Pelodiscus sinensis: one gene and its partner. The protein of the gene in region 1 interacts with the protein of each later gene in a pairwise test. Links are inferred from orthologs where the notes say so. Each region holds a gene or a part of one and is shown in the gene's direction. Other genes may lie near its edges. The genes, in order: LHX4 and CHCHD2.

What was found.
Region 2: the proteins of LHX4 (region 1) and CHCHD2 interact in binary tests that used the Homo sapiens proteins (3 or more experiments, as listed by UniProt). The two-hybrid records come from large-scale screens. The link is inferred for Pelodiscus sinensis from reciprocal best matches to the Homo sapiens genes LHX4 and CHCHD2.

Annotation. Positions count from the first base shown.
Region 1 is NC_134719.1:59,247,743-59,263,531, reverse strand, and holds the start of LHX4 (LIM/homeobox protein Lhx4), read left to right. Parts: upstream 1-7,007; 5' UTR 7,008-7,246; coding exon 7,247-7,322; intron 7,323-15,789. UniProt on the Homo sapiens protein: May play a critical role in the development of respiratory control mechanisms and in the normal growth and maturation of the lung. Binds preferentially to methylated DNA.
Region 2 is NC_134731.1:20,151,177-20,166,958, forward strand, and holds CHCHD2 (coiled-coil-helix-coiled-coil-helix domain-containing protein 2), read left to right. Parts: upstream 1-8,914; 5' UTR 8,915-9,046; coding exon 9,047-9,096; intron 9,097-9,693; coding exon 9,694-9,946; intron 9,947-12,378; coding exon 12,379-12,538; intron 12,539-13,026; coding exon 13,027-13,037; 3' UTR 13,038-13,382; downstream 13,383-15,782. UniProt on the Homo sapiens protein: Transcription factor. Binds to the oxygen responsive element of COX4I2 and activates its transcription under hypoxia conditions (4% oxygen), as well as normoxia conditions (20% oxygen).

The DNA of each region.
Region 1 (15,789 bases):
TGAGGAATCTGCCTTCTAGTCCCCTCGCTGTCTGTTTTGTACTGAGAGCCCCGCGTCAGACGGCTGCACGAGGCCCGGAGACGCCGCTTTGTCCCCAAGAGGCGGCCGTTCTCTGAACCGCAAGTGGTTTGTGTGTCTGTCTGAGGGAGGGGGTCTTACTGCGACTGAGGGGCGGGCCAGGCTGGAGCATCATTCCCACCGTGCTGACGAAAGATGGCGGTTTGCTCCCCCCACCTGGCTTCTAAATCTCCCTGCACTTGGAAGACTGCTGCTTGGGTCCACCTAGATTAGCACAGAGATCCCATGGCCTTTCCGTGACTGCGGCTTAATTCTCTGAGAGATTTGCCTGTAGCGCTGACTGCCTGGAAGAGGTGGTGGTTTGACTCCTGTGTGCTGATTGGACGATGTGCCTGCCCGTCAGAAAGGCAAGCTCTCACGAGTAGTTATTATTCGTAGGCGGCTGTCCAACAGAGTTTGGCTAGTCTGCATTTGCATGTCCCTATTACTTGGCAGAATGCAGATGAGTGCCTCAATGACTCCTACAATCACAGTATCTAGACCCCAGTCGCGCATCGGGGGGGTGTACCCTTCTTCACCCAGGTCAGGGCACTGGGTCCAGGCAATAAAGTTCATCGTCCCAGCTCTAATGAGTTTCATACCCTTATGACAAGGAGAGGCTTGTGATAAATTCACCAATCACATCAACACCTGCCCCATATCTGCAGGGTGGGGAAGTATATTGTGTGTCGGGCAATTTAACTCGTTTGAAAGTCAGCAACAATTGGTGTTAAATAGCACCACCAGCCTTGAAATGCGGACCTGTTTTGTGTCCCTCGGTTCCTCTTTGCGTCATCAGATTTGAGTTGGGAGGCCCTGGCTGTGGTGCATGTCATGAGCTCACAAAGCTGAATCGACTCTCGGTGTTTCCTCGGGGCTTGACTTTCAGCAGAGCCAACCACGCACCGCTCTCACTAACTTAACTGGTGTTTGGGGCCTCCAGCACTTCTGAGTAACACTGTACTGAGCTCCCACAGTTATGTACAGCCAGAAGGAGGAGGTCTGATGATGTCATCATTCTGCCCAGGCCTCACTGGCTGAAGGTGTTGTCATTCAATATCTTTTAGGGGTGGAGTTCTTTGCAAAGCTTTGGAGGACTCCATCTTGATCCTGCAGTTAAATTAACCTCTTCTAACAATCAGAGCTGTTGTTATCATCTTCACCACCAGACTCCTACTGGAGTGGCCTGCACATGCAATGCAGCATTCTTATTTGCCTTGTTTAATGCACTTTATTTAAAAAAAAATTTTTTTGCAATAAGAGGTGTTATTTTTCTGTACATACTTTGCAAAACTTTTTATGAATTTTTAAAAAAATCGTATCTATTTAAATTTTTAACCACTGTTCAAAATGAAGAGTTTAAGCACTTTTATCTATTTAAATTGTCACAGTTGCAGGAAACTCTGGTGAACAGGGAGCAGACAATTATTTAACGACAAGTAGATGCTGAGTAAATAGCTTTAAATCAAACTTTAGTAAGTTCTCAAGCTGCATTTTTCTTACTTTGCCTGTCTATAAATTTGGGTGATTATTGACGGAAATATTTTTGTTGGTTTGTGCATGTACTACTCCTGTTGGATTTCTGCAACAGTTGCATTTGAAGCCATACGCCTGTTGCAGGAGTAGTGTGTGGTGAAATCAATGTTAATCCACATTTACCGATATAAATCTATTCCTTCTTAGCCTACTTATGTAACGCTAGAGTTAGCATTCCTTTAAACTGTGCTTCTGCTAACAGAGGATTAGGAAATATGAATGGATTCTCCTCTAGTTGACTGAATAGGAAGGGTCATTAAGGGTGTGTCTACACAGCACCCTAAACTCGAAATAAGATGCACTATGCAAATTGTGTATCTTATCTCGACTCTATTTCAAAATAATTTATTTTGAAATGTGGCACTTCTACACAGCGCCAAATTTCAAAATAAAGTGCTATTTCGAGCCATCCCTTAACCCTCATGTCACGGGGTATCCCGAAATAGGTATCTGAAACAGCCATCCAGTGTAGATGTACTCTTAGATCCTACATCATGCAAGGGTTTGTATTTCTACTAGCAGGGATTTGGCGATCAATTTAGAGAGGAGAAAGGGTCTTTGTGATTCAAGGCACTGGACTAGAGTTCAGGAGACCTGGGTTCTCTGGCCTCTGCCACAGACTGACTGTGCAAGCCTGGGAGAGTCACTGGATCGTTCTGTGCCTCAGTTTCCCCATCTGAAACATCAGGCTCATGACACTGATCTGCCTCACAGGGCCACGGAAGGAGATCAATGCAGAAAGCAGAAGTGTGTACCCATTAATCCTGTGTTCACTTTGAGGAAAATAAGGAACACATGCTGGGGAAAACCCATATACCTGTGAATACTCAACATTTATTAAACTTTAAGATCTCTTATGCTTGGCCGCCACTTGACTCCATACCCTTCCTCCTCTCCTGCCCTCTCCCTCCCTCAGCTACCACCTGTTTCATGTGTATTTTTCCCTGATGAGACAATTCCAGAGCCACTGAGCGAGTTCTTTTGCAGACTAGCTCTTTCCTCCTTCCATAGAAGGGGTTCTCCCAGACTCGGTTTGTCATCTCCCCCTTGCCCTCTTAGTAGTTCCTGCTGGTTTGTTTATGCATCTAATCCATCTCTCCTTAACTGCCTGCACACACAGGCTTTTCCTTCTCCTGCCCAGCCCTTCTCCTAGACTTTATCCAGCTGAACTCATCTGGAATAGTCTGATTTCGTACCAGTTTAGTGGATGCATGCTACGGAATTAACATAAAGGCCATCTCCCTGCATCTTTCAGAGCCATGTCCCATAGGAATCCCAAAACACACATGCACACACACACACATAGCTTTTGAGATGTTCCCCATCTGCAATCCCGGGATGTCACTAAGTAGGTGTGGATCTGCTGCATTGATTTCTGCAATTCACCAACATAATCTATCGCTGATAGTAACCTCCCACATAGCGGGTGCTAGCGCATAAGTATTAATAATATTGATAGAAATGATGTTGCATGTCTCTATTGTCTTCTACAATGAAGAAACTCTTTGGGGCATTTTCCTCCCACTATCTTTGGCATTTTGTTCTTCCTTGTTATATTGTCTATTATGTCACAGGAAAAGGTCAACATGTGGCGACCTCTTCTATGCCGATATTCCACTAGCTAACTCGCAAGTGGTTCTCAGACTTTTGCATTGATGACTCTTTTCACACCGCAAGCCTCTGAATGTGACACCCTTGACAAATTAAACACCTTTTAAATATTTAGCACTGTGATGGATGCTGGAGATGAAGTGGGGTTTGGGATGGAAGCTAATAGCTTGCAACCCGCCATGTAATAATCTCCCAGCCCTCTGAGGGGTCACTCACAACCTCCAGTTTGAGAACCCCACATATATAATGCCCTAGGTTCCTTGTGTAGAAATTCTCTGCATTTTCTCCCTACTCTTTTTAAATCAGGTGGACCAAATTCACCTTTGGTATTTAACTGCACTAAAGGTCAATGATTTTTCTTCAGGAATTAACTTCACCCCTTGTCACCTTCCTCTCTCCCTCCCCCTGAATTAAAAGGGAACTGGGGAAGTGTGGTGTGCTTACTCTCATAATGGGGACCAGTGTAACCACACACAGAAGCTCTCCAGCAATGAAACATCTCCAAACTCTCTTGTGCAACCACTGGAGTGATTTCTCTTGTTTCTTTTTAACATCCAGGGCTCCCTTTTCCTTCCTCCACTTCATTTAACTGCCATTGTCACCACACGCTATTTTTGTTGAATTGGTGGTTGCCACCTGACCCCTGGACTCATGGAAGTTGGATGTTGCATGTTGGGAGTCATCAGGATTGGGACCCCGTTGAGGGATCTGCCCACTAGAAATTAAGTGTCAGCTCTGCCACTTGCCCCGTTGCCTGGGGGAAGTTGCATAATTGCTCTGTGCCTCAGTTTCCCCACCTGCACATTGAGATGGTTCTTCTTTCCCTTTGTAAAACATCTGGTGACCCATAGATGAAAAATAAGACGTCCGGTGGCACCTTATAGATTAACAGATTTATTGGAGCGAAAGCTTATGCTTTCATGGTTTATGCAGATTCAGACTAACAGGGCTACCCCTCTGATTCTTGTCATAGATGAAAAGTGATACAGAGCTATTATTATAGTTAATGTCCTGATTAAAGAACCCCACGAGCAATGAACATGAAATAAATACCTACGATAAAAACACATATGCATCTTTTGTAACTTCCCACGTGAACTCCTGAACCTCCTGGATCACTGGGGCTGGCTTCCTACTTATATGTGAATTATCTGGCTCTTCCTCTTGGGACTTGTGTCCCGCACCTTGTTCCTGGGGTGGTTTCTGTCACTCTCTGCTCCCTGGTCCCCAGTACTTGGTTTAGGTAAACAAGGATATTAAGAGAGATGATGGGAAAATGGTCATGTTGGGGGGGGGGGGGAATAGTGAGGTAAATATTGATATTTCAATGGCTTTTTTTTTTGGTCAAGATTTGGAAATTGTCAGCCAGCTTTCAAGCTGGTCTAAACATGGGATCGATATTTTTGTGATTTTTTTTGTTAAACAATTCATTTAAAAAGACCTGCGTGTTCATCCAAATCTGCCCTCTTTATTTCTCCCGGCAAAATCTGGCCGGTTCTGACCCACTCCAGAGAGTAACTCCCCGTCTTTACATCCCAGCCTATTCCGTGTTTGCTCGCCCCGGGGCGAGCCGATGTCGAACGTACCGGCCAGGTGGGTCTTCAAAGTCTCCTGCCCGATGCTGGGTGCGCCGCGTCCTCCAAGACGCAGCTCTCGGCGCTTGTGATTTCGTGCCCTGCCCGCTCCGCGTGTCTCCTAACGCCTCCGGATTACGATCACTAACAGCCGTGGGGACTGGCTGGCGGATCCGACGCGGGCTCCTTCCAGGCGAGGCCCAGCCCCGGCACAAGCCGAGCGAGGACCCCGATGCCATCTGAGGATCTGTCCCTTGCGGTGGGAACGGCCAGGTGCCCGGGCACAGCGAAGGACGCTCGTTCCGGCGCTGCTGGGGCGGGTTCAAACCCCGGCGGGGGGGGTGGGTTGGTCGGTTTCGGGCGGGAGTTGTCCAATCCGCTGCTAACCCCCCCAAAAAAGGCGTCCGTTCCTCCCCGAGCAGGGCGGGCGGCTACTTTTCGTTTGCTGCGCCCCGCCAGCTGATCAGGCTGGGGAACGCCTGGTCCTGCCGGTCTGGGCGCCTGATCTTTGGTTTTATGGCAACAAGTCGCCACGAACCGAGCCCTGCTCTCGCCTCTCCCGCAAAGGACGTTTCTCGGCGTGGCGCTGCATGGCAGGAGCCGGGGGGGGGGATGGCCCAAGACGCAGCAGGGGCAGGCCAGGCAGCCGGGCATTAGTTCGGGACTTTTTTGTTATCCCTTCACCCCTACAACGCGCTGCCAAAGGCCCCCCCCCCCCCCCCCCGCCAACCCGCACTCAGCCTGCCATTAGGAGCAACGGGAGGGGAGCTAAAGCACACAGTGCCGTGTTTAAGGTGGAGCGTTGTATTGCTTAGGACCCCTTCCCGGGAGGGGGGGGGGGAGTCGAGCCAGCCCCCCCCAATGACTAGCGAAGCAAGAGGGGGACACAGCCCCCGCCGTGCCCGTAGCGAGGTCTGGTCTCCGCCGAAGCGAACAAGCAACGCGATTCCAAACGCAGCGTTGCGCGAGGGGAGGGGGATGTTTGGCTGGGTAATGATTGAAATTAACTAGATGAAATTGATCAGTCGTCCAGCCTCCATGCGTAGCCTGGGCTGGGGCCAGCCTGGGTCCTGAGGCTTTATGATACAGGATATTGTTTTATAGATTAACACTGGAGATATGTTTAAAAATGGCGTTCTAATGTATATGTGGAAGAAATAATTGGTTTACACTTTAAAGCTATTTTTAAAAGCCGTTTCTGCGCCAGTCTGGGAGCTCCCGGCCCTGAAAGCCCCAATACGGCCGTGATGACTAGCACCGTTTTTAAGGGGGGAAGAGTGACAACGAACAGCCAGGGGAGGGATCGCATCCCAGGCACGGACGCGGCTATTTCAACGCGGGTGAGGCTTGTGACAACGCAACTTGCGCTCATTTCAAACAAGAGCCCAATGCGCGGTGAGAAATAGCGACCAGAGAATTGTTCCGCGAGGCGGTGGGCTGCGAAGCGACACAGTAGCGACGTGGGGAAAGGGGGAAATAAAACCTCGGGAACTATTCGGATAAAGGGGAGCTCGATCAGCCGCTAGAAGGGAGACAAGAGCAGGCAGAGAAGAAAGGGAGCGAGAAGCTTTAGTGAGGGGAGCGCTGCAAAACGGGGACAGCCCGGTGGAAAGGAAGAGCTTGGTTTTCTTCCAGACTCCACGGGAGCAAATCCCAGCCGGAACGAGCGGCGGGCTGGTGGCGAGATGTCTAGCAGCGTTTCGTCAGGAAGGCAGCAGGTTCTGCAGGGTCCGGTGGCTCGGGGTAGCTGCATGGGGCTGAGCTCCGGGCGGGTAAGCCGCAGGGTGAAGGGAAGGGGGGTTGAAATGCCGCAGCAGGAATACAGAGACACGAGGGACAGTAAGGTGGGCTGCGATTGTCCCCGGGGGTATCCCCCGGAGTTAAGAGACGCTGGGACCAAAGAGGAGGGCTGCGCAAAGCCAGCAGGACAAGGCAGCTGTGAGCCACCTGCTGCCTCCGCTGCCTTTTATAGCCCTCTGAGGGCAGGGGAGGAGCTGAATGCCAGGTAGCCACGCCCACAAAGGCGCAGGCCGCGCCCACTCCGCCAGGCGGCCCCGCCCCCAAAATTCGTTACCTGCGCTCTGTCCTTAGGCTGGAGCTGTCTCCGCCCCAACTTCTGACATGATGTAAGGGGATTGGCTGGAGGGGGCGGGGCCTCCCTGCGGAAAGTGACGTCACGCTCACTCCCTGCAGTGTGAATGAATCAAACCTGCCTTCAGGGGACCGGCATTCCAGCGAAAAGAGCTGCTGCAGCATCACCCCCTTAAGCCAGGAGACGCTAACCCGGGATAGAAGCACCGAAAGGGATTTGCGCCAGACCAGGGCTACAGCAGGGCCGCCCCGGTTCCCCTGCACGTGCAGACGGATCCGCCCTGACTGTACTTTCAACTTCATGTTTTATTTTATTTTATTTTCCTAGCGAGATAAACGGGCCGTTTGTTTTTATTTTCCCCCCGTGTTTCAATAAAATGATGCAAAGCGCAGCGCTCACCACAGAAGGCTCAGCCAAGGGGCTTCCAGAGATTCTTGGCGTGCCAATGCAACGTAAGGCATTTTTTTTCCCCTCATCGATTTCATAATAAAGAAAACTGGCAATGAGAGGAGCCTCCGTGGTGCAGGGAGGGGGGTGAGCGGCACTGTGAGCTGGGGAGAGGCCCAAAAAGTGTGTGTGTCAGCAAGGTAAGACGGGGGGGATCTTCCTGGGGACAGATTCCTGCCCAGGGCTGGGAAAGCGGGTTGCCTCTGTTTTATAAAACTAGTCGGAGGGCGAGAAGCAGGAGCGGGAAGGAAGTGCCCGGGGGGCTCCGCAGAGTGGGGGCGCAGGCTGGGAAAGGGGAGCAGCCAGGCAGCTCGTGGGAAGTAAACAGTCTTCCTGGCGGCCAGCAAAATGCTGCGCCGGCCACCGGATCCACTTGGGAGAAGTTGGGAACCCGCCCGCAGACGGGAGTTCTCGGGCAGAGGGCGGAGAGCGGTGTCCCCATCTCCCCAGGTTGTTGCTAGAGATGGGGACCCCCCAGAGCAAGTCACCGCCGGGGGATTTCTTCGTGGATACAGGTGGGGGAGCTGCTTGCAGGGGGAAGGGGAGATCCCCGGCGAGTGTTTTGTCAAATAATTGGAACTGAAGCCGGTGTCAGCCGGGCTAAGCTGGGACTCCGCTCCGGGAGTGTAGACACAGGCTGTGTGCGGCGGGGGGGCCTGGAACACGCCGAGCACCCTAAATCGAGACTAGAGCTACACTAGATGCAGATGTGTGGCTATGCCTGTTCGTGTAGTGTATAGGGGTGAGCATGTATTAACCCGTGTGTATGTGTGTGTATGTACTTGCGCATATATATGTTGGTGTTTGGGTGTCTGTGTGTGTATAATATATATAATGTATGTGCACATAAATACTCACACACATATATATAGCATGTGTATATATGAGATCCATATATATATGAGGATCTATCTCGATTCCCGCTGATGTATGTATAGGGATATGCTAATATGTTTACATTCATATTTCATAACAATATGGCTATGTACTGTATATATGTTTTATCTGTGTGTGTGTACAAACACACACACACAACATATATACGGGGATATATCTATGCCTGCTGATGTATCTATGTATGTGCTAGGATGTTTATATTCATATTCCATAACAATATGGCTTTGTATTATATAAATATATGGGATGTGTGTGGGGGGGTATCTGTATCTATACCCGCTGTATATCTCTAGAGTCTATGCTGGGATGTATATTGTGTGTGTGTGTGTGTGTGTGTGTGTGTGTGTATACACACACCATCTATACGGGGCTCTGTGTCTGTGCTCGCTGTGTATCTCTAGGGTCTGTACTAGGATCTATGTTGTGTATCTGTGTATATGTGTGTGTGTACACACACACATACACCGTCTATTCGCGGCTCTGTATCTGTGCCAGCTGTGTATCTCGAGTATAGGGCCTGTACTGGGATGTATGTTGTGTATGTGTGTACACACACACATACACACCCACGCACACCATCTATACGGCTCTGTGTGTGCCCGCTGTGTATCTCTGGGGCCTGTGCAGGGATGTATGTTGTGTATGTGTGTACACACACACACACGCGCGCGCGCACACACCTATCCGGGGCTCTGTTTGTGTGCCCGCTGTGTATCTCTGGGCCTGGGCAGGGATGTATGTTGTGTATGTGTACACACACACACACACACACACACACACACACACACACACACACACACGGGTGCCCGCTGTGTATCTCTGGGCCTGGGCAGGGGTATTTACATTCACACTCCGCAGCGATCGCCCTTCGCTCGCCGCCGGCCCGCGCCGCTTGCTCTGTTCCCAAGGCTGAGCGCGCGGATCGGGCCCCTCCTGCCGCTTCGGCTGCGCTGGCCCCGGGCTGGCTCGGCTCCGCGCGCGGCGTGTCCCGCTCCCGCAGCCCGGCTTGGGGTTAGGCGGAGAGCGGCTCGGGGGCATTTCTGCCCGGCCCCCGTGGCCGAGCGGGCTTTGCCGGGAGCCGCTGCCCAGCGCTGGGACCATCCGCCGGGCGCCGGGGCAGAGTTCAGGAGTTTCCCGCAGATGCTGCCGCAGGTCTGTGGCCTGGCGCTGGCTGCGCGGCTCGTGCGCGCTGCTGGGCGCAGAATGCGCGGGGAGATCCTTTTGCTTACTCCCTCCAGGCCCGGGCTGCGGGGTAGGGTCCCGCTGGGGCGGGGGAGGCTTTCCAGCTCCCCGGCCATCCGGATCCCCAGCGTGGCTCCTCTGGGGCGGGGTCTGTCTGGGACAGGGAAGGAGCCGGCTGGCGTGCGGGGCGCAGTGACGGGAAAAGTGAGGGGGCTTGTCTCGGAAAGCTTCGCGGAGCCCGCCCCAGCCGAAGGCCAACTTCCTAGCGCGCACCCAGGGGAGGCAGGGAATCTCCCGTCCGGGTCTGGGCCAGCGGAATCCGAGCAGGCTGGACTGCTGGACCGGCCCTTTGCTTCGGGGTGGAACACGCTGGCCCCGCTTGCCAACTGGGGCTCGCTTGAAAGGCTGCACAGAGCCCCCTGCCCCCAGCTCCTTTTATCCCCCCTTCGCGGGCACACTCCCTTCCCCGCACTGGTTTTTAAATCCGCCTCCAGCCCAGTCTCCCGAATTGCGAGAGAGAGGGAACGACCGGGACCCGGCCATGTGCCCAATGGATCGCTCGGGTCAAGGCGCCTGCGTTCACAACGAGGAGTCTGCTGCGTTTGGTCAGACAGGGCCAGGCTGCGCGTCAAATCTCCCCCAAATCCCGCTGTAGCTTCGGCCCAGTTACTGACGATCGAGCCCGCTTTTTGGTTACGTCTGGATACAATCTCCCCCGGAGACACGGCTAGATGTACGGAAATTGCACGCAATTCTTCGCGTGTTTATGGAGAGATTTGTACCCACAGGTAATAGAAGACCTGTCCCGAGGGATGCCATCCCCTATCCAGGTTATGCCCATTCTCTTTCCTCGTAGCCCCCTCTCCATGCGGACCAATGGACGCGCGTTTACAAATCTCGATCTGTTTGTTTGTTTTTCCTGCGCATCTCTGGCCGTGAACTTGCCCGTGCGCGTAGGGGCCGATCGTTCTGGCCGAGTCGCTGAACTTGCCCGCGCTCCCAGCCTCTTCCCTCGGATCAGTTCGTTCCGGTGGAGTCATTTCCCGGCTCTGGGCATTGCAGACTGGGGGACTGCAGGACTCGGGCATTTAATCCCGAACCTGCTGACTTGTGGCTTTGGCTGGATCTGGCTACTTTACCAGCAGGGATCCCCTCCAGCTAGCCCGCTCCAGGGGAGGAGAAACGCTCCATCCCTTGGGTTTTCGGAGCCTCGGAATTTCCCGCTTTGCAACAGCAGCGCCCCATATCCTTTCTCCCCTCCAAATAAAGCCCTTTTGGCTTTGGCAGGCTAGCCAGAGAGGCCGAGGGAGCGCACCGGAGCGATCCGGGCCGCCGCGTTCCATCGCCGGCTCTTCCAGCGCCTTCGTTCCGCTTTGCCGCGGTGGGGCGGGCGGGTGTTTGCGTTTGGCTGGGTTACATAAGGGCCAAGGTCTCCCGGAAATCTTTGCTTCCCAGCGAACCCTGGCTGCCTCCGGACGCAGCCGGAGCAAGGCTGGACAATTTCGGCCCCGGCCCCCTTTCCTTTGCGTTTGCCGTAGATTGTTCACCCCCCACCTTTGCTGGGGTAGGGACCAGCCCCGGGGCTCTTTTTTTAATTGTTCTTGGCGGACAATAGTTTTTGCTGCCCGTGAGAAGCGGCGCCCGACGCCGATTTCCTCGGCCTGGGAGTTGCGCGCCCGGTTTTCTCTTTATTCCAGGCGGCAAAACCGGGGCTGCTCCGGGCAGTGGTCTCCGGGCAGAATTGCTTGAAAGGCCACGGAACAACCAGGCACTGCCCTCGAAGAGAGTGTGAGGAGAGTTTGGTCCCGGAGTCGCTCCCCGCAGGCGGTTCCCTTCGATCCCGATTCGAATTCGAGGGCCCAGCTGGCTAGGGGCGGGCCTCGCTTAACACCGGCGGCGCGAACAGCGGAGGCCTCCGTGCGGGCTCTGATTTCCCCGCTGTCCTGGGGATCCCGTGTGACATTTACGCCCTTCAGGTGCCCCATATGCCACCCACTCACTCAAGATCAGAGAAAGGGGCATTTCCCTGTTTCCCCGCAGGAGGAAACTCCCCCGACCCCGCCATCGCCCAGTGCACTTTCCTCCCTCCGGCTAGCGCAAAAGGATATTGCGCCCCAGAGGCAGGGAGAGCGGGTGGGTGGAAATTGGTTTTGGGGGCGAAGAAAATGGAGGCATCGAGATCTTTGCCAGCGGATTGCGATGCAATAGCGGCAGGAGACACCGCTCAATAAACCGGAGAATCTCGACCGGCCCACGCAGACGGACAAACAATTTCTACCCACCGAAAGAGCATTCGAATTGTCCCCGGGTGTCTCCTGGCGCACAGATCCGTGTAAACGTTTTTTACACCCGGATCCATGGAGAGAGAGGGGTGATTTGAAGTGGAGACGCGTGGGGAGATTTTGTAGCGATAGTCCCGTATTTGTTCGTCGATGCGTCGTTTATTGGGCAACATTAATCGATCGCTACAGAATGTGGCGTCTGCATACGCACCCACCGCCGCTGCGCCTGTGGTGTCTGGGTTTATGCGGAACCAATTCTAAGTCCAGAAGAAATCAACACCGATGAAACGCGTCCTTTTTTTCAAGGGGCGCTGTAGGAGGCGTGTGGGGTGGTAGCCCTATATTTGTGGGTCCACGTTGCAAATGCAAAACCGATTGGTTTGGTTTGTGAAGTCTCATGTGTTGTGTGTAAACGTGACCTGTCCTGGTCTGAACTTGATCCCGAGCCGGATCGGGTTTAGCTCATCCGAGGGCGAGTCCTCTGTCCTAACCGTCCCTTTGCATTTCGGAAACGTGCCCCGGAATTTTGGGGAGCAGCGATTTCCGCCTCCTTGCGCCCTGCCTCGCCTCTTGTTAATTTCGCGTTTCTTCCGCGCGTTCCCGCCGGATCAAACCTTTCCCCACTTCCTCGCCAGTCTTGTGTCCGGGCGGGGAGCAGCGTCCAAACCCCGGTTCCAAGCTGGAAGAAATAAACGAAACGGGAAGGATTTGGGGTGGGGGAAAATTGTCCAGATCCGGGAATCTCTCGCCTGTTTGGTGCGTCTCTTTCCGCACAGCCCGTGCGCCTAGAGGGGCATTTTGTCTGAATTAGCCGGGAAGGTGAAAGGAACAAACCGGCGCCGAAGCGCTTTTCTGGCGTTTTCGCCCTGTTAAATTCCCCTCCTTGGCCCGCCGATCCCCGACTCTTTCGGGCTGAGAAAAGAACCTTCGTCTTACGTCCACACCGCCCTCCAGGCCAGATTCCCCCCCGGCCGCTGGAGCGCAGGCATCCCCACCCCCGCCTAGCTGCGGGGATTTCTCTCCTCCTCCAGCGCTTTCTCGGCGCGGCTCAGGATCGCGCTCCGGCGTGGATCAAATTATTTGTTAGTGGAAGAGGGAACCTACCCGCGGCGCAAACCGGCCCCACAGACAAACGCTCCCAGACTTTGACCAGCTGCCTTGAGCCAGCGCTTTGCGCCTGTCCGCCCTGCCCGGGGCTCGATCCCGTGCGCCTCATTCCCCAGCTAACTTCCCCGGGAGTGTCGGGTCCGGCTGGGAAAGGACTCTGCTGCTTTTCTCCCGGCGCACAACTGTGTTCTTCGGGCACCCACGGAGCCCTGTTCGGTCGGGCACCCACCCGCTCTGCCGGGGGCTCGCCAGGGGCCAGGTGATCGCGCTGCGGCGCGCTAATGCTGGGGGCGCTTCGCGGTGCCGGGGGTTATTCTGGGGCAGGATCGGGCCCGGCCCGGTGCTGTGCGGCCCGCTCGAGGCCGCTCGGCTTTGCTGAGCTTCCCTTGACATGTGGCTGCATCCGCGGCGGGGCGAGCAAACGCCAGTCGGGAGGCCGAGCCGAGAAACTCCAACGCGCATCGGCCGGTTTGCCCCAAGGCTCCCCCTCGCTTGCTGCCTTCCCCGCCTTGTCGGGCAGCCACAGAGCTGGGGATTCACTTCCCAGCATCAGGCCGGGAGGGACCGGAGATTGAGAGGAGAGGGGTATTTTCCCGAGGCCGATTAGCGGATTTGACAGGATACCCTGCCTCCGCCTTGGACCCAGACCTGGGGCCCGGAGAAAGCTGCCTCTCCACATAGCCTCCCCTCCCCCGGTAAAAACCACTCCCCGCAGCGCTGAGGTCAGAAAGGGAAAGTGGGCGAGAGACTCCCGGGAAAGTCCTTGGCAGGGCTCTGCGCGCGGGCGGAACCGGCGGAACTCCCTGCTGCGGTTGGGAATCGGGACCCCAACCCGAGCACAGAGAAGCCGGACAAGTCCCACGTGTCTCCCCTGGCTAGATCCAGGTAGATGGGCTGTCCCGGGAACCCACGGCCTCGAGGTGGAACAGGGTGGGCTAAAAGCCGCGTCAGCCCTCGCTCTTGGCGTTGGACACTCCGGGGCCCTTTCCTTTGGTCTTACCGCCGCTGCCGGGGTTTGGTTTACACGTTTACCCCCCGCGAGGAGGAGTCTAATTTCCCCAGCGCCGTGGCTGGACAGGGCCAGGGGAGCAGGGCTCAGGAGAGGCGGGTCCCACGATCCCCGACTTTGCCACTCACTCGATGGCACGGAAAAGCCAGCGCTTCGGGCTCCGCATCGCGCGGCCCTCCCCTCCCCCGTTTTCTCACGGGTAGAACGGAGCGACCCCCTTGTTATTTCGAAATAAGAAGACAGCGCCTCCGCACGGCCAAGCTTGTTATTTCGAAATAACGGGCCGGTTATTTGGAAATAGCTCGGCTTGTGAAGGGGAATACGCTGATTTCCAATTTGCTATGTTGGGCGTTATGGGTTTGAAATAACGCGGTAGCTTAGCCAGGGAGGTGATCCAGGCTGGGGAGCGTGGGGGGGGGGGGGGAGCGGTGCGGGGATCCAGTGAATCTCTTTGCCCCTGCGGAGTCCCCCCTCCGTAGGGGGAGTAACCAGGCTCCTGCGCCACCAGCTGCGCTTTTCGCGGCGGTCGGTGGCCACATGAAACTGACGCGCGCTCTTTACAAAACAACGCGGCAGCGATGCGCCCAGTCTGCCCCCCTGCACCTTCCCCTGGCTCCTGGGTGCTCGCTCCAGTGGGACCCACGGCCGCTGGGGAGCATCGTGCTGTGGTCACACACGCAGCGGTGTCCATGCGTGGGGACCAGGCTGCGAGGGGACGGCTCGCCCCGGGCTGCCCCGAAAGGCAATTCGGGCGCTGGGCTCTTGGTCTGTGAAGCCGCAAACGAAACCAAGTAAAACCCCCTTTTCCTCCTGCTCGCTGTGAACTAGACCAACAGCTTCAAACTCGCTGCCGGCTTGATTGCCCGCAGCCTGTGGCACTGCGAGCCGGCCAAGACATTTTTAGGGTGGAATTATGAACTTCTCAGTAAATGGAGAAACTGACAACGTCGGAACAGTGTAGTCTCCAGGGGTGTCTACACTGCACGGCTATTTTGGGATACTGGGCGTATTCCGAAATAGCTACCCCCTCGTCTATACAAGCCACCAAAATATTTCAAAATATTTGTCGAAATAATGGTCACCCTATTTTGCCATCCGATTAAATCTCACTGCTATTTCAAAATAGCTTCTTTTGAAATTTGGCGCTGTCTACATTGCTCGAAATAGTGCATTCTTTCGAAATTTGGCACTTTATAGAGCTGTATAGAGCTTTATTCCGGAGGATGGCGCCAGTCTGGACGCTCTTTTCCGGCTTTTCCCCAAGCCGGAAAAAAAGCGGCGGCCATGTTTATTTAAATCCTGCGGGGGATATTTAAATCCCCCATGCATTTCCCTATTCCAAAGTTCTAAATTAGCATGGCTATTCCGAAGAAGGGGCCAGTGTAGACACAGCCTTAGTGTTTTAGCCTTGAGGACAGTATCTTTGTGGCCGGATCCTGGGAAGTGCCGGGTGTCTTGGCTCTCGGGAGGGGGGGGAGGGGGGGAGATGGGACGACTCAGCACCTGGGAATCTGGGGCATTTTTTGACTGAGCCAAACCCCATTAAAGTGACTTCAAGAAATTACTGAATTAACTGAATATTGTTGGGGGGAGGGGGGTATGAACATAGTGTAAAATACTTGAAGAAGGCAAATAAAGAGGAAAGAATATGTCTAGGCAGGAGACAGGGGTATAGCCAGGCGTAACGGGATGACACTAACAAGGAAAAATATAAGGTGAATGTTCTTTCTATTATTCTATTTACAAACTCACCTTCCGCAGCAAACCAGTGGACATTGGCCCAGCACCATGGGATCTCAATTAAAATAAAGACAAAACACAATTCTCAGCTTTATTCACATTAAAACTCTGAATGGGAGCGAGGCCTTGTCCAGCTGTGGAAATGATGGCAGAAAGAAGTCAGTGGAAAGAAAATTCACTGTTAATTAATAGAAGCTGTTGTCTAGTCATGTGAGTGAGCCTCAGTCTAGTTCAGGGCTGGAATCTGGAGCCCAA
Region 2 (15,782 bases), on another chromosome or scaffold:
CAACAGCACTTTCATTGCCAATCCTTCCCAGTGTAGACAGCCCCACAGTACAATCGTACCCCACCTATCTGCCTGCTCTCTTGAGCCTTCTGGTCTTGCTGACATTAGCAAATAGGACAGTAAATTAGTACAATATGAGCCTCTGTAGATTTTCCTGAGGAATGGGAAACAACAAAGCAACACAGTGGTGGCATTCATCACTGAAATGATGCCATTAGTGCCTCTTTTGTTCTATGGAACAAAAGTAATACACATATCTCAGGGCTGTTCCCCACTCTGGCGCTCTGAGTACAGAAGGTGGGGGCCTGCAAGAGACCTTAAAAATACCTTACCTTTATAGGCTCTGCTAAAAAAGCTCCCCAGAGTCACAGATTCACTGACTCTGGGAGATAGGCTGCCACCATCAAGTGAATGAAAATATTGAAAACCAGGAAAAAACACTTGAACTTTTTCCCAAGGGATACCTTAAGCTCTTTTACCACAAGAGAGCTTGAAAAAAGAAAAAGCCACAGAAAACAAACTGCAGTCTCTGAAAGCTGACCTTTCAGTTTTAGGTAGGCGCACACACAGAGACCCCTTGTTACTTTTCAGGACACAAGACTCAAATCATCACTTTAAAAGAAGGTGATTTTAATAACAAAACAAAAATATTTAGTTGCTAGGTATTTCAGAGCAACTGAGAAAAAAGCAGATTAAAACACAAAGAAAATATGGCATCTCTGGCATAGCGAATGGGGGGAAGAGGAAGGCACTTGGATTTCACACAGGGAAGTTTAACCAAACAACAAAACAAAGAAAAATACCCTAATTTCAACTAAACATAAATTTCTCTATCTACTCATGAGCTGTACTGATCTGTACTTTCAAGGCCCAGTCTATTCCCATGCCCAATATTCCTTGTAGGCACAGTAATTCTGTCTGATTACTTCATCTTGCTTCCTCCAGCTCCTAACTTAAAAAACTCACAGAAAGAGAAACAGCAGCAGGTATATATTTAAATTTCAGCACTGTATCCCATTGAGTCTTCTGGCTCCCTGCCAACACCCTTACCTAGGGTGAGTTTAACCCTTTAGTCATCGCGTGCTTGCAAGTACTACTACTATCCATCACAACATAGAAACTCACTATGAAATTATTGCAGCAAGGAGAATAGATGTTGTGCTCAAGACTCATAAAAATAAAATTTTAAAAAGGATGTCCTGGCTCCCTACCAAGGGCTTAAATTGAAATAAATGTCTGTTGCTATCTAGGTTCTAATTTCTACTAGCGTGGAGAAAAAAATGTCTGATTGCAATGAAGAGAGAAAGGTGAAAAGTGGGGGAACAGAAATATGCTTCCTCTTGACTGGCAACAGTCACATTTTTGTAGTTCAGTCCCCAAATAATACAAAGTCTCAATTCAAGACTATTTTTATGTATAGTTAGTGACAATTCAACCACATAAGAACCTAAGAGGTGCTCTGCATCCTCAGCTCTCATTAAATCAATTGAGAGTAATTAGAGACTCAACAGATACAGGATTGGGTCCTGAATTGTTATTCCAGGTGGAATGCAATATATATTTGCTTGCCAACTTTTGAATGATGTCTGATTTATGGAGGATGTGCTATTGGGAATCACTATAGGCCCAAGTTAGAGGAGAGAGCTGGAAATTAGGTACAAAATCTGAATTGATTACTTATCTGGACTCACAGCCAACCCCATGGGGAGCTGCTTGGGGTAGCCTCTACCCTACACACAGGCTGCCAATGAAGCAGCGCATCTGGGGGAGGGCAGGTCTCACCTTCTCCCCACAGGGGAGGGGAGGTGCTATCTAGCAAGGGAGACCAAGCTGGGTTCTCTGCACTAGGAGAGTCTCCCGGGGAGCAGCAGGAATGTCTCACTTGCTAGAAGTATTCCATGCCCGCAGCCAGGATTTAGGGGTCCCCAGTGGCAGCAACCAAGGCCCGAGGGATGCAAGGACCATGGGTCACCCTGGGCCCGAGTCCCTGCAACACCTGCAATTTTCTGCCTGCGGCCAAGCTGCATGAACAAGGCCGGCTCCCCACTGCGCCCCCTGAGGCTGACCTGAGTGTGTCTGGCTGGTATTGTTCTGTATCTCACCACCACCTCCAGGCCCACCAACAAGTACAGTGAGGCAGAGGCGCTCAATTGCCGAGGGCCAGCGATTTAAAAGGGCCCAGACATGGGTTACAGACACACAGTTTTTGCAGTATTTATTTTGTTTGGATTTGATTTCATATTAAATAAACATTTAAAGTCATGCACCTTGTTAATTATCCCTTGTTTTAATATTCTTTCTTCCATAACATTTTAAAAATATAAGACAGAACTGTGTAAACTAATGATGTATTGAACTAATGATGTATTGAACTTCAGTATAGCTTTTTGCAAGAGAATTAACTAATTTGGCGAGTAACTATTCCCATTTTGAATAGTAATAGAGATGTAGCCGTGTTAGTCTGGTCTTGCTGAAACAAAAGACAGGACTATGCAGCACTTTAAAGACTAACAGGATGGTTTATTAGGTGATGAGCTTTCGTGGGCCAGACCCACTTCCTCAGATCAATTTGTGGAAGAAAATTGGCACGACCATATATAACAAAGTGATACAATAAAAAAAAAGGACACATAAAATTGAAAAATCAAATTTTAGAACAGAGTGGGGGTGAGTCTAAAATTTGATCTGTCAGTTATATGTGTTCACTTTTTTTGATTGTATCACTTTGGTATATATGGTCGTGCCAATTTTCTTCCACTATTTGACCTAAGGAAGTGGGTCTGGCCCAAGAAAGCTCATCACCTAATAAACCATCTTGTTAGTCTTTAAAGTGCTACATAGTTCTGTCTTTTGTTTTAGCTAGACCAGACTAACACGGCTGCATCTCTATCACTATTTTAAAAATATGTATAAGCTATTTGTTAATAACTTGGGTGCCACAGTGGCACACATCCAAACCAGTGCACGTGACCTCAACATTCACTTGGCTCATGGATGGAAAATCTCAGAGGGAACACTGCTTTGCATACAGGAGAGATAGATAACACGGGTCCCCTTTGTGTATAGACTTAGGGGGCAATACTCTCCCCTAGATAGACAACATGAGCGCTCCCTTTGCATACAGAACTGGGGTGCAGGGGACCACCCCTTGCAGATATAGATTTGTGGACAGGTGACACCCCTTTAGGTATGAATGTCTCCACCCTGCGCACAGACGTGGGGGGCAGGACCAATCCCCTTGCATATAGACAGTGACAAGGGGCAGGCATGCTCCTATTTGCAGCTAGGCCTGTGAATTCAAAAGGGGATTCTTTGGCCTACGCCCTCTGTTTCCATAGCAACCCTGCAAGGCCAGAGGACGGTAACCTTCCGAGAAGGGGGAGCGACATTGTCTATGACGACACAGGAGGGGGTGGGGTTTGTAGTGAGCTAGAGGCGCGGAGCCAATAGGATAGCGCAGCCGGCTGACTTCCCCCCCCCCCCGGTGGGCGGGGCAGGCTCAGGTCGCGGCGGGCTCCGCAGGCATGGCAGAGCCAGGCGGCCGGCGCAGGCGCAGACGCGGGCCGAAGGCGGCAGCGCCCGTGTGGCCCGAGGAGGAGGCGGAGCCGTACGAGTGGTACAACGTGCGGGAGTGGAGCGGGCCGCGGGGCCCGGGCTCGGGCGGGAAGGGCCGCAGCCGCCGGGAGAGGGAGCTCCGCACCAACCGCTACCTCCCCGCCGGCCACGAGCGGAAGATCGCCCAGAAGCTGCGCAACAGCCAGGCCAAGCGGCGCCGCCGGGAGCAGCGCGGCCCCCGCTCCAGCCAGGCCGGGAGGCGGCGAAGCGCCGGGGCGAGTTGTTACGCTCGGGGCCCGGGAGGTCCCAGGGACTCTTGGGGGGCCCCCACCCCTGAAATCCCTTTGCAGACAGCGCGACACGAGCTTCTCTCGCGTGCCCCGCACACCCCCTTCCTGTCTTGCGGGGGGGGCCCCAAACCAAGGGCAGCCCCTCCCCCCGCAGCTAAAGCAACCCAAGGACCCTAATGTTCCTTTTCAGCGTCTAGACCTTGAGAGAGTTGCTTAGAGACCAGGCCCAATGACGGCCCAATAGTGGGCAACCAGTGGCTTATCAGGGTCCAACCTGTGGCCCACAAGACCATTTGTTTACTATTACTCATGAACAGGTTGCCAGATTTTGCTGGTTTTCATCCACATATTTTCTTATGGGTATTGCTAAAGTGATGCACATGAAGCATGATCAAGGCTGGAATTTTGGGCTGGTACGGGGGCCAGGTGTGAGAGTCCTTGATAGCCAGGGACTGGGATGAAAAGCAAGCTGTCTCCAGAGTGCACAGCTGCTGCTGCCCCTCCCCTCCTAAAACTGTCATTGAGTGGGATGCGTGCTAATTGCACACAGCATCGTCCAAGACATGCACTCCTTCTGCATCCAGTCAAAGTGCTGCTACAATTCATTCGGCTTACTTTGCAAATTCTAGATATACAAGTGCAGTTAACAAAACTATTCTGCCCCAGATCATCTTGGTTATGACAATATTACAGCCTATTGAGATAAAGGAGAGCATGTACCGGCTCCCGCCCTAATACAGAGGCAGCGGAGATGGGGAGGGGATGTGTGTAACCCTGAGGGTTAACCAGTGAGCTCAGTTTCATTGGTTAACTGTGTACATGAGTGCACATTCACATCCCTACTCTATATATTCTTGGTTTTGTATTGATTGTAAATGAAATAGTAAAATCTCAGACAGTGTCTGATCATGTAACTAAGAGACAATGTTTGGTGTCCATTTCTTGCAGGCTGAATAGAGGACCGGATTTTAAACACCTCCCCACAGTCTAAATGCTGTTCCTCTTAGGAAAAGGGAGCATTGTTTGGAATGCTGTGCCTCACCTGTTGCACTGTTTAAATACCATGTCTTGTGGGGAAAAATAAGTGACACTTCTTTCAATAAGACCAAGGTTGTTGGTACTTTTTTGGCCTCATTTTGTGTTATTTTATTATAATGCCAACAGTATTCTAAGCACTTTAGAGACAAGACTGAAGCCAGGGTTTCTGTCTGACTACATTTGAAGACACCAATTCTACAGTCAGATTGTTCATATGGATGTGAAGCTTTATTGATGCCAGTGTTCCTGGCTAGGAGATCCTTTTGTAAGGTCCATAGACACATACTTTAGTAGTCCTGTTGAATTCACACCCTGCAAATTCTAGGTACAGAAGCACAGTTAGCAAAACTACCCTAGCCTGGGAGACTGTCTAATTACAATAGTCTTGTAATTAAACGCTTAGATGAAGGTGGAACACTCGTGCAGCCCATTCGCTATCCTAGGTTGCCCAATGCAATGCTACTTCACAACTGGAACAGGTATTGTAGATATGATTATTTGCTCCAAAGAACTACATGAGTAGTCTCACTGAGCAATTTACACAGGCATGTAAAACTGAGCACAAATGTTCCCAAGATCTAGGACCAAAAATACAGGCTAAAATACATATGAAGAGGTGTCAAATACACAATGTAAATTGAAACAATGTATGTTCTCAAGTTCTATTGATCTTAAGTGTTGTACCAACAGTAAGTTATATGTCTGTTATTTTAAGTATACCCTTTTAATTGTGCTTTTAAGATTGGTGGTGTTTTTAAATGATTGGTTATATATATTGATAAAATTGTACATAAAGTCTTTCTTGTATTTGATAGCTGTGTGCATATGTATAAATAAAAACATTTTAATTGGCTTATTTTTTTTAAAAATTGGCTTTTATTGTCACACGAGTGTCAGTCAAACGAGTTTGATTTTTTTTGATCATGGGTGTTTTGGGGAGTTGGGGCCTGTAAGTTCATGTTCTCTACTTAAGATTTGTATAAGATTCCCATTCTACAATGAACTGTGTGTGGAATCATTGTCCTAGTTTTATTCATCAATACTTGAGATTTTTTTATGTTCTAGACATCTAATTGATAGTAGGTCTCTTTTTGGATGTGAAAATGACACAAGTATGCTTTTTGGGGAACTGGTTGTAAAGATGGAAGAAAGTTAAGTAGGGCAGTGAGATATGAAATAAAGATGGAGGGGTAAGATGTCTGCCACTTTCATTCTGATTGTTTATTATCACAGTCATATAAAGTTGGATTGAATTGATGCATGTTCTAGAGAACAAGATCAAATAATGAATTAATAAGGATGAAAATTTAAACATAGCAATACATTTAAACAAACAGTATAATTTCTCACACATGCTATGCGAATCACCATTTAAAAGAGAAAAACATTTTGGACTTTAGCTAAACAACTGTGAACAGGTTTTGTATTACAGGGTGCTCTGAGTGTGAACCTATACCCAAATAAGTTTTGGAAAGTAGTATTTGTCTACTACTAATACATTTCACATTAACTAAACTTGGCTTAAGTCTCAGAGGGGTAGCTGTTTTAGTCTGTAACTTTAAAAACAACAAATAGCCGTGTAGCACCTTAACAAAAATATATGCATAGTAAGGATGTTCAGAAATAGATATTTGGCTAATCGTATAGTTGATACAAATTGTATTGTCTCTACACAATTAGTTGATAAGGGTAGGCTCTTTGTCCCAGCTCCCGCCAGGTCCAGGAGCCACCCCCGCTTTGGCTCTGCAGTTTAAATTTAGAAGGAGCTGGGTGCACAGGCAGCCTGGCTCATACTTCATTTACACTGCAGAGTCACAGTGGGTGTAGCTCCTGGACCTGGCACAAGCCGGGACTGAACAGCCCGAACTCCAGGACAGCTGCAGCTCTGCATTTTAAATGTAGTAAGAGCTGCTGGGCTTACTACATTTAAAATGTAGAGCGGCAGCAGAGCCTGGAGCCAGCGCGTGCTAGGACTGAGCCGTCCTGGCTTGCGCCAGCTCTGGGACTGCCGTGACTCTTGTCTTTCTCCCCAACTTCCCCCCCCCCCCCCCACACATGGCCAAAATGGTGCTGAGGGGAGCCAGCTTTTAAACTGGCTCCTGTTCCCCTTCCCCCCCCTTGCTGCTTCTCATAAGCCTAGGCTTATCAGGTAGTTGACTACTGACTAGTCAAGGGGTGGCCAGCCCATTCTGGGCAAAGATTCAAGATAGCAGTGGATCCAGCGTGAAGAGCCAGGGCAAAGCTCTTGAGCAAAACCAAAAAGGATTGCCCCTTTTAAAGGAGCCCTGGTCATGTTTGGTCAAGCAAAAAAAAAAAAAAAAAAAAAAAAGCTCCTGCCACCATCTTTAATTCTGCAGCTTTCATGGCCGTGCTGCAAGGCTCCCCTGTCCTGGGAGGAGAGGGCCATTTTTGGGGGCGCAGGGGCCGCTTACAAGCCACAGGGAGGCTTTGTGAGCTGCACCTGGGGGTAAGGTTGCCAGGTGTCCAGTTTTGAACTGGACAGTCCAGTATTTGAGTTTTCTGTTTGGGAAACAAATTGAGAAAATATAAATGTCTGGTATTTTCTAAATAAGATGTAATGTAGATTATGATGTAATGTCAAGTGAGTCCGGTATTTTTGTTGAAGCCATCTGGCAACCTTACCTGGGGGGGCGGGGGGAGAGCCGAATGTGGCTCGCAAGCCTTGGGTTGGCCACGGCTGGACTAATCAAATACCTAATGAGCTTTTGTGGGCAGAACCCACTTCTTCAGATGAGACGATCTTGATTAACAGATATATTTAAACATGTGCTGTATATAGCAACATTCACAAGACTGTAATTTGATTGTAGATGGTTTTAAGATTTTCCTACTAAATGTATGCATTGGCTCTAGTTACTTTCCTCTGAATATTTGTTATTTTTAATTCTCTTGGCTTGATTTTTGAACAGTGGCACTGGTGAGAACATTAAAGTGAAGTGCTTTTACTATTATTAATTAACAATTCATTTATGGTAGCACTTAGAGATCTCTATCACAATTAAGCCCCTTTATACCAGATGCTATACAAAGAGAACCACTGAATTTGTTATTCTTCTGCCAAATGAAAACTGATTGTTTATAACTAACTGTTAAAATCAACTCCACATGGACAGTGACTCCCTACTGCTCGCTTTCAGTGGCTGTTTCTCAGACTAATTGAATAGTCCTGCTTGACTTTCCAATACCAGGGCCACGTGATGTGCATTCACTAGCCTCTAGATAGGACCTTAACCCAGGACGAGGGGCTGTGCTAAAACCATCTTTCTTCTGACCATCTGGGGTCCCTTCAGTGTTTCCTGTAAACTGATTGTTGGAGTGGCCACTCAGGAGAGATTCAAATGCCACCCAGCAGACTGCCCACAGCTAGCACCAGGGGTACGTCTAGATTAGCATGAGTTTCCGGAAATTCTTTTAACGGAAACATTTTCCATTAAAAGCATTTTTGGAACAGAGCATCTAGATTGGCACGGACGCTTTTCCGCAAAAGCACTTTTTGCGGAAAAGCATCTGTGGCCAATCTAGATGCACTTTTTCGCAAAAAAGCCCCGATCGCCATTTTCGTGATCGGGGCTTTTTTGCAGAAAACAAATTGGAGCTGTCTACGCTGGCCCTTTTGCGCAAAAGTTTCTCGGGAAAAGACTTTTGCCCGAACGGGAGCAGCACAGTCTTTCCGCAAAAGCAGTGACACTCTTACATGAGATCGTCAGTGCTTTTGCGGAAATTCAAGGGGCCAGCGTAGACAGCGGGCAAGTTTTTCCATTAAAGCGGCTGATTTTCCGGAAAAAGTGGCCAGTCTAGACACAGCCGTCATACGTTTTACTGGGGGTGCACATGCCTCACTGCACATCACAACATTTATTCCACACACACATGCCTTTGTGCAGGGGCTCACGGGAGAATCTCCCAGCCACAGGCGCGAGGACACGCACCCTGGAGCAGCCTTCGCAGGAGGGAGCGCGCTGCGCTGAGGCCCCGCCCAGCAGCCGGGCGCGCGCGTGACGTAATCACGGCGCGACTATTACGTACCGGCCCGGTGACCTTCAAGAGGGCGGAAGCGGAAAGCGCTCGGCCAGGCCCCGGCTGTGCAGCGGAGAAGCCAGGCGCCGTCCCCGCCGTTCGCGAGCTCGCCCAGCGCCGCCAGCATGCCGAGGGGCAGCAGGAGCCGCACGTCCCGCATGGCGCCGCCGGCCAGGTGGGCGGGCCCGGGAGCTGAGGGGGGGCGGGGGCGGGTCGCGCTGGGGCCCTAGGCCTGGCGGGGCAGCCGCTCCCCTGCGGCCTGGCGCGGTCACAGCCCCTCGGGCCCGCGTGCGGGAGCCGGGCGAGCAGAGGGGCGCCGAGGCCCGAGTTACATAAGCCCCCCCTCCCCCCGCCGAGGCACGTGGCGGCCGGTAATCGCGGCCTTGGCGGGGCGGTGAATGTTTAACCGGCTGAGGGAGCCGCTCGTGGGCTGGTTTGCGGCGCCGCCCCCCCCCTCCGCCCCCCGGCTCTGCTGTGACGTTGCGCCGCGCTTGAATGATCACGTGGCTCCCTGGCTTTTTTTTCTATTCATTCATAGTATGGGCAGGGGAGCGGAGTCTTGTGTCTCCATGAAGCCCTAAAAAAGGGGCCTAATCCTCAAGTTTGGACAATTCTGCTTAGAGAACAGCCGTAGCGTATTGCAAGGCTTGCGGCATAAGCATTACAGATATCACAAAAGGATTTTAAGTATAAAGTCTCTTACAAAGGTTGCCTCTTTTTGCATTGATTTATTTCTCTCTTCTCTCCCTCCCCCCCCCAACCCCCCATTCAGTCGTGCACCACAAATGAGAGCTGCACCTCCAGCCCCTGCAGCTCGTGCTCCAGTACCGGCACCTGCCCCTGCATCTGCAATGACTTCTGCTGCTGCTGCACCAAGGCAACCTGGTCTGATGGCACAGATGGCTACAACAGCTGCTGGGGTAGCAGTAGGCTCAGCTGTAGGACACACACTAGGTCATGCAATGACAGGAGGATTTGGTGGAGGAAGCAGCTCTGAAGCTGCAAGGCCTGATATTACTTATCAGGTATGTGGTTAACACTGTATTTTAAGTCTCAGCTATGAGTGAAATTGGATAACTTGTGACTGAAATTATAGGCCTGAGTGCTTAATGTAGGGAGCTGGTATATGGGGACACATGCACAGTTATTTTCTGGTATGTTTATTTTGCCTGGTACCATGCCTTTTATGAAATGTATTTTAAATGACTAGTGTCAGGCAGTGGAGGGTGTACTGTGTTTAGAAGTTACTGGCTCTTGACACTCCCTTCCTCCTCCTCCCCCCCCCCCCCCCCCCCAAAAAAAAAGAAACTTGGAAAGGAGAGTGTGACACATAGTCTGTTGAATCCAATGCCCTCATGGTTTGATTTGATTAGCTGCCAGAGTAATAAAATGTTAAGGGAAGAGGTCAAAACTAGATTAAAATGGTCAGCTAAGGCTAAAACTTTAATCAAGGGTGGGTTGACTTAAATCAGTTTTCTCACTGATATGACTTCATATAGTTCTTCAAACAATAGTACAATGTTCTTCAGACAGCCACGCTTTCTCCTAGTAAGCAGTTTTCCTTATGATTCATCACCTTACTGGGTGATGCTTACCAGTTATGGCTTACCGGTGGGCTGTGGGGCCCTGGCTGGAGCAGGCCTGGCCTGGAGTGGGCCTGGCATAGTCAGAGCAGTTGTCCACCCATGGAAGGCTTGTCCTGTCCCGTTAACCATTTAACTTGATTAACCAGGATTTTGTGTCCCTAGTTTGTTTCTTGCACCTAGCCTTACACTTGACACATTTTCCTTTTTTAACCAGGGATTGAGTTTCTTCAGAATATTCCCAGATAGTCTCCTTTACACACATGAGCCATGACACTCTCTCTGTGGCAAAAGTTGAGGGGACTCTAGGAAGCTGTGTGTGTGCTGTTTGTGTTCTCTTTTACTTCCCAGTCCACTCCACAGTTCCTTCCTATGCTGCTTCCATCCTTTCCTATACAGTAAAATCCAGTTGTTTGGCATCCAGTGGTCCGGCACTCCTGATAGTCCGGCACCAACTGGAACCCGGAAGTGCTCTAGCCAGCTGGACAATTGGAGCTGCTGTGCCCTGGCTTCCCCAAGTCTGACGCTGGTCAGTTTTAGCTGCGGCGGACTTGGGGAAGCCATGGGGCAAAGCTCAGGTGAGGGGGCGGTGCTGCGGTACCAACCCGGCAGCACCCCAGCTGCTCTGCCCCCAGCTTCCCCAAGTCCACTGCTGCTGAAACTGACCAGTGGCGGACTTGCGGAAGCCGGGGGTAGAGCAGCTGGAGTGCTGTGCGGTGCCCTGCCGACCTCCCCCTGACCCTTCATAGCCCCCTTTCTGGTACTCTGGCATATCCAATAATCCAGCACCCCCTGGGTCCCAAAGGTGCCGGATTATCGGAAGTTTACTGTACATTGTTTCTGTTTTGAGACTAAGAATGTTAATCCTTAACAGATAAGGGCAGCCTTTGTCTGTGGTCAGTGGGTGGGATCCCTCTCTTAACTGGTTAACTAATTAAGTGGGATTTTACATCCCTACTGTAGACAATGTCTTAACTTACTCTGCCATGCGTGGCCCAGATTTGCTACCACGTGAGCACAGAACAAAAATAATCCTATCCAGCTTGTTTCTCTTTCCACATGTTCTCAGCAACCTAACAAATTGAAAGCCCAGAACTTTCAAGAAGCAAGGAAGGACAGACTAGAGCCATTAATTCATTTTTGAGACTAGTATGTGTAGATGTTGCATAGTTGTGACAACTGAGAATGTAGTAACTTATTTTAAGATAATTTTGTTTTAAAAATAAATAAAATCTAACTTAAATAAATTAAAAACGGATTTGAACACCTATTTTTATCCATCCTGCTTTGCTGTATTTAACACGTTATCCTCTCCTTCCATACCTAATGGTTTATATTACTGAAACAGATTGGAGACTGACAGATCAAGTTTTCATTAATGTCTCTTCTGGTAACCTTTTTCTTTAAAATGCAGGCACTTTACTTTGGCAAGCCAAAACAAGTTCATTTTCCACAGTCTCAAGAATATATGAGAGAAACAGTAAATTATCTTAATGTTTTATTGAATGTGAATTGACTTCTGTTCACTAATACTTGAGGCCAGGCTTTTGTAGGTACTCTAGTCCTTGTGTTACTGTATTGGGTTTTGAATCCCTCAAGGGACAGGTCTTGTGTTCTAAAATACTTGATGTAATCTTACATCTGATTGAGTTAATGGGCTGACTTCCATTAATTTTGGGGGGAAGCATATTACCCTTACTACTTGAAAGATGCAGAACTTCCAAGGGGGTACCTATTATCTTTACAAGGGAAGAAATAAGTAGAAATATACATATTGTAATAGCTCCTCTGCTGGTCAGGTTCTGTATAGCTAGAAATAATCAAAGTTCATTTTTCAAAGATGAAAATTTGTCCTACTGTGGCTTCTTTTTCAGGAGCCTCAAGCAGCTCAGCCTGCATATCAGCAGCAGCAGAGCCAGTACACCCCCTGCCAGTACGAAATGAAGCAATTTTTGGAGTGTGCACAGAACCAGAGTGACCTTAAGCTGTGTGAGGGCTTCAGTGAGGTGTTGAAGCAGTGCAAGTTTGCTAATGGTGAGTAGCTGGCTTAGTTGTGTGGGGTCTGGTACAGATTTAATAACTAGCTACCTAATCAATAAGATTAAGTAGCTATCTCAAAGTGCCTCTTCCCAGTATCAAAAGTGGAGAAGAACCAGCATGGTATTGTCCATGCTGAGTTGTGTGTCAGATCCCACAGTAGTCACTTGGAATGGAACTGAAAGTGCACAAAACTTCTAATGCATTACCTCCTTTGTGGAATGTGCAAGTCTGAAATTACAAGTGGACTCAAAAGTGGAAATTCAAACTGTGTAAGGTGCATTTCTATTAATGGGTGTTTCTCAGCCACGTCAGCTGTTCTGGCTTTTATTGAGGGGAGTGCACCAAACCCTAGGGATGCCTAGTGTCACTGAGGAATTGGGTCTTCCTGAATCACCTGAGCACAGACTGTTCACTGCCTGGGGGTTAAACGTTTGTTCAGCATGGAAATTTATAATTTTGCTAATTCTGTGTTTAATTTACAGGTTTAGCCTAATCAAATTCTACAGAACGAAGAAGTTGAACATTAGCATTTGAAGTTCTAAAATTGAAAGATGCTTCAGTAATAAACGTCTAAGGTCTAAAGCTATCTGTAAGATCGTGTTAGTTTATATTATAATTCATAACTGATTGCTCAAACCTTGACACAACTTAAAGGTCCCTTTAGATTTTTTTGACACATTGATAAACATGCTGGATTGATTGTAACAGTGTAGTTTTAAACTAGAAGATTCTGAAGATGGGCAAACTATTTCAAGGGGCCTAATCAAAACTAGTTGTTCTGCTGGCTACATTGCTGTTTAAATGTGAGACTAAGACTAAATAAAATTATCTCAATGTTTGAAGTGTCTGAGTCTCTGAATTAAGAGTTATCCCTTCCTGTGGGAATAAGATATAGAAATAGATCTGTAGGGAAACACCCCTTCTATGTCTGTTAGTCCAGGGCTGTTTTCAGGATAGCTCACTCTGCACAACATGCCCTTTTCATGCTGACCATATTTCAAGGATGCTTCCCACTGTTTGTTCTGAACACTCTGAAAATCTGGTCCAAATGATATCAAGGAATGGCATGTATGTAGCTCGCTGCAAACATCAGTCTTGGGAGGGTGGGGGGGAGCCTCAGTTCTATAAAAATCAAATCGGTTCTCAAATTCTTATAGTATGGACAGGTTTTTAAATGCGACATATTCCCCTATTGATGACCATCTGTTCTTCTCCCTTCTCTTCCCTCTGTTAAAACCTTCCAAGGTCAGAAGGGACCATTGTAATCCTGTAGCTTAACCAGCTGGGTAAAACAGGCTATGAATGTCCCCAAAGAGTCCTGTTTCAAATAAGCTTTTTTTAAAAAAAGCTCTGATTTCTACACTACCATTGATGGAAAATCCATAACCCTTAGTAAATTCAGTGGCTAACTGCTCTCCCTGATTTAATTACATCTTCCTGTTGGTCTGCATCTACCCAGCAGCCTGGGTAAAGGTACTATGTTAGCTTCTTCTTTCCAGCTACCCCCATAGCCTTTGACATAGCTTGGTCTCCTATAAGTATCTGGAAACTAGGAAAACTAACACTGTAGGCCCACAGCTCATCTGTTCAAGTTGGGAACAACTGAAGCAATTAACATCACTGAATAGAGCCAGACTTGTCCCTATAGGGATTAACTGTCCTGCTTCATTAGGTTATTGCTCTTCACATACCCAGTTCATCTTAATCATTTAAGCTAGGGATGTTAAATATCGATTAATTGAATAGTCTATTTCAGAGGCTGCAATGTGGGGTGCCAGGTAGGAGCTGAGCTGCAAGGGGAGCCAGTTGAAAAACCAGCTCCCTTTGTGGACTAGTTGGCTGTCACCTGGCCTGTCTGTTGGAGGTGGGGGAGGGGTGTCTGAGCTCCCAGACCTGACATGAGCCAGAACTGAGCAGGGCAGGTCCCAGAGCCAGGGTGAGCGAGGACTCAGCTGGGCTGCTGGTCAGCCTGCTTAAAAAAATTACTAGTGGGGAAGGGGAGGAAATGCGTGTAGTATATAGCATTAAGCAAAAACGTAGGTTATCAGTTAATTGACCATACTATTACATCCCTAATTCAAGCTTTATAAAATAGGGAGAGGTGGTTAGGCAGGGGAAGCTCCTGTAGGAAATCCAGAGGCTTTTGTTAATTGGAACTGTCTAATGCCAACAAATACATGGCTATTGCATTTAACGAGCTAAATGATGATCAATACAGCAAAACAGCTCATGTCTGAAGGAGACTGTGTACTGATTTTTTTCTAGAATGTGCAGTTCATCAATGTACATAATCCTGGCTCCTAAGAGCAGCAGGACTAATAAGTATGTGACTTAATGGGGATGGATTACTTGCTTCATTTTAGGGGAAAAAATTACCAGGAAACATTCATCATAAGGCCAACAATATTCTTATGGCAGCAAGCCAGTCCTGTATGGTGCTATGCAGTTCAGTTGTCTTCAGCTGCTGCTGTGTGTATTGGTGCAGCTAGTAACAGCCTGTACTGTTAGATATTACTACTGACCTTTGCAACTACTGGCTTAGAAACCTCTAAAGCAGCAGTTCTAACTGTGGGTCAGGACCACAAAGTGGGTTGTGAGCCTGTTTCAATGGGGTTGTCTGAGCCTACCATCTGGGGCAGTGTTTCCTGAAATTGCTTCCATCTGTGTGTAGAATAAATTTGATGTGTACTACCAGTAGAAACAATGCTACCTGGGGGAGCTCTGCTAATCAGCTGGGTGGCCACCCAAATGCTCAGCTCACAGGGAACACTGATCTAGGGTCAAAGCCTGAGGGCTTCAGCCCTTGATGGCCGGGCTCTGGTGACAGCCTGTGTTCCCTCGAAGCTGCATGGCAGCACAGCTTCACAGGGGATTAGCCCCACCCAGTCAGAGGCTCAGGGCTCCTCCATGCATGGGGCTGTCTGACTGGGTAGGGCTGATGAATCACCTGTGATGCTGTGCAGCTTAGACTGAAAGCTGACAGCCCCCCTCCACCAGGGGCAGTGGGACTCAGGCAGACTTTGATTTCCCCCACCTGGAGTCGTATTGTAGCTTTTGTTGTCAGAAGGGGGTCATGGTGACAGGAAGTTTGAAAAACCTTACTCTAAAGAAAGCTGGAAATATTGACTTTGGTCATTGGCCTTTATTTTTGAAAACTTGTGGCAAGTGCGGGAGGTCATGGACAACTGGAAAGAGGTAAACATATAGGGCCCCTCTTTAGACAAGGGAAGGATGACAA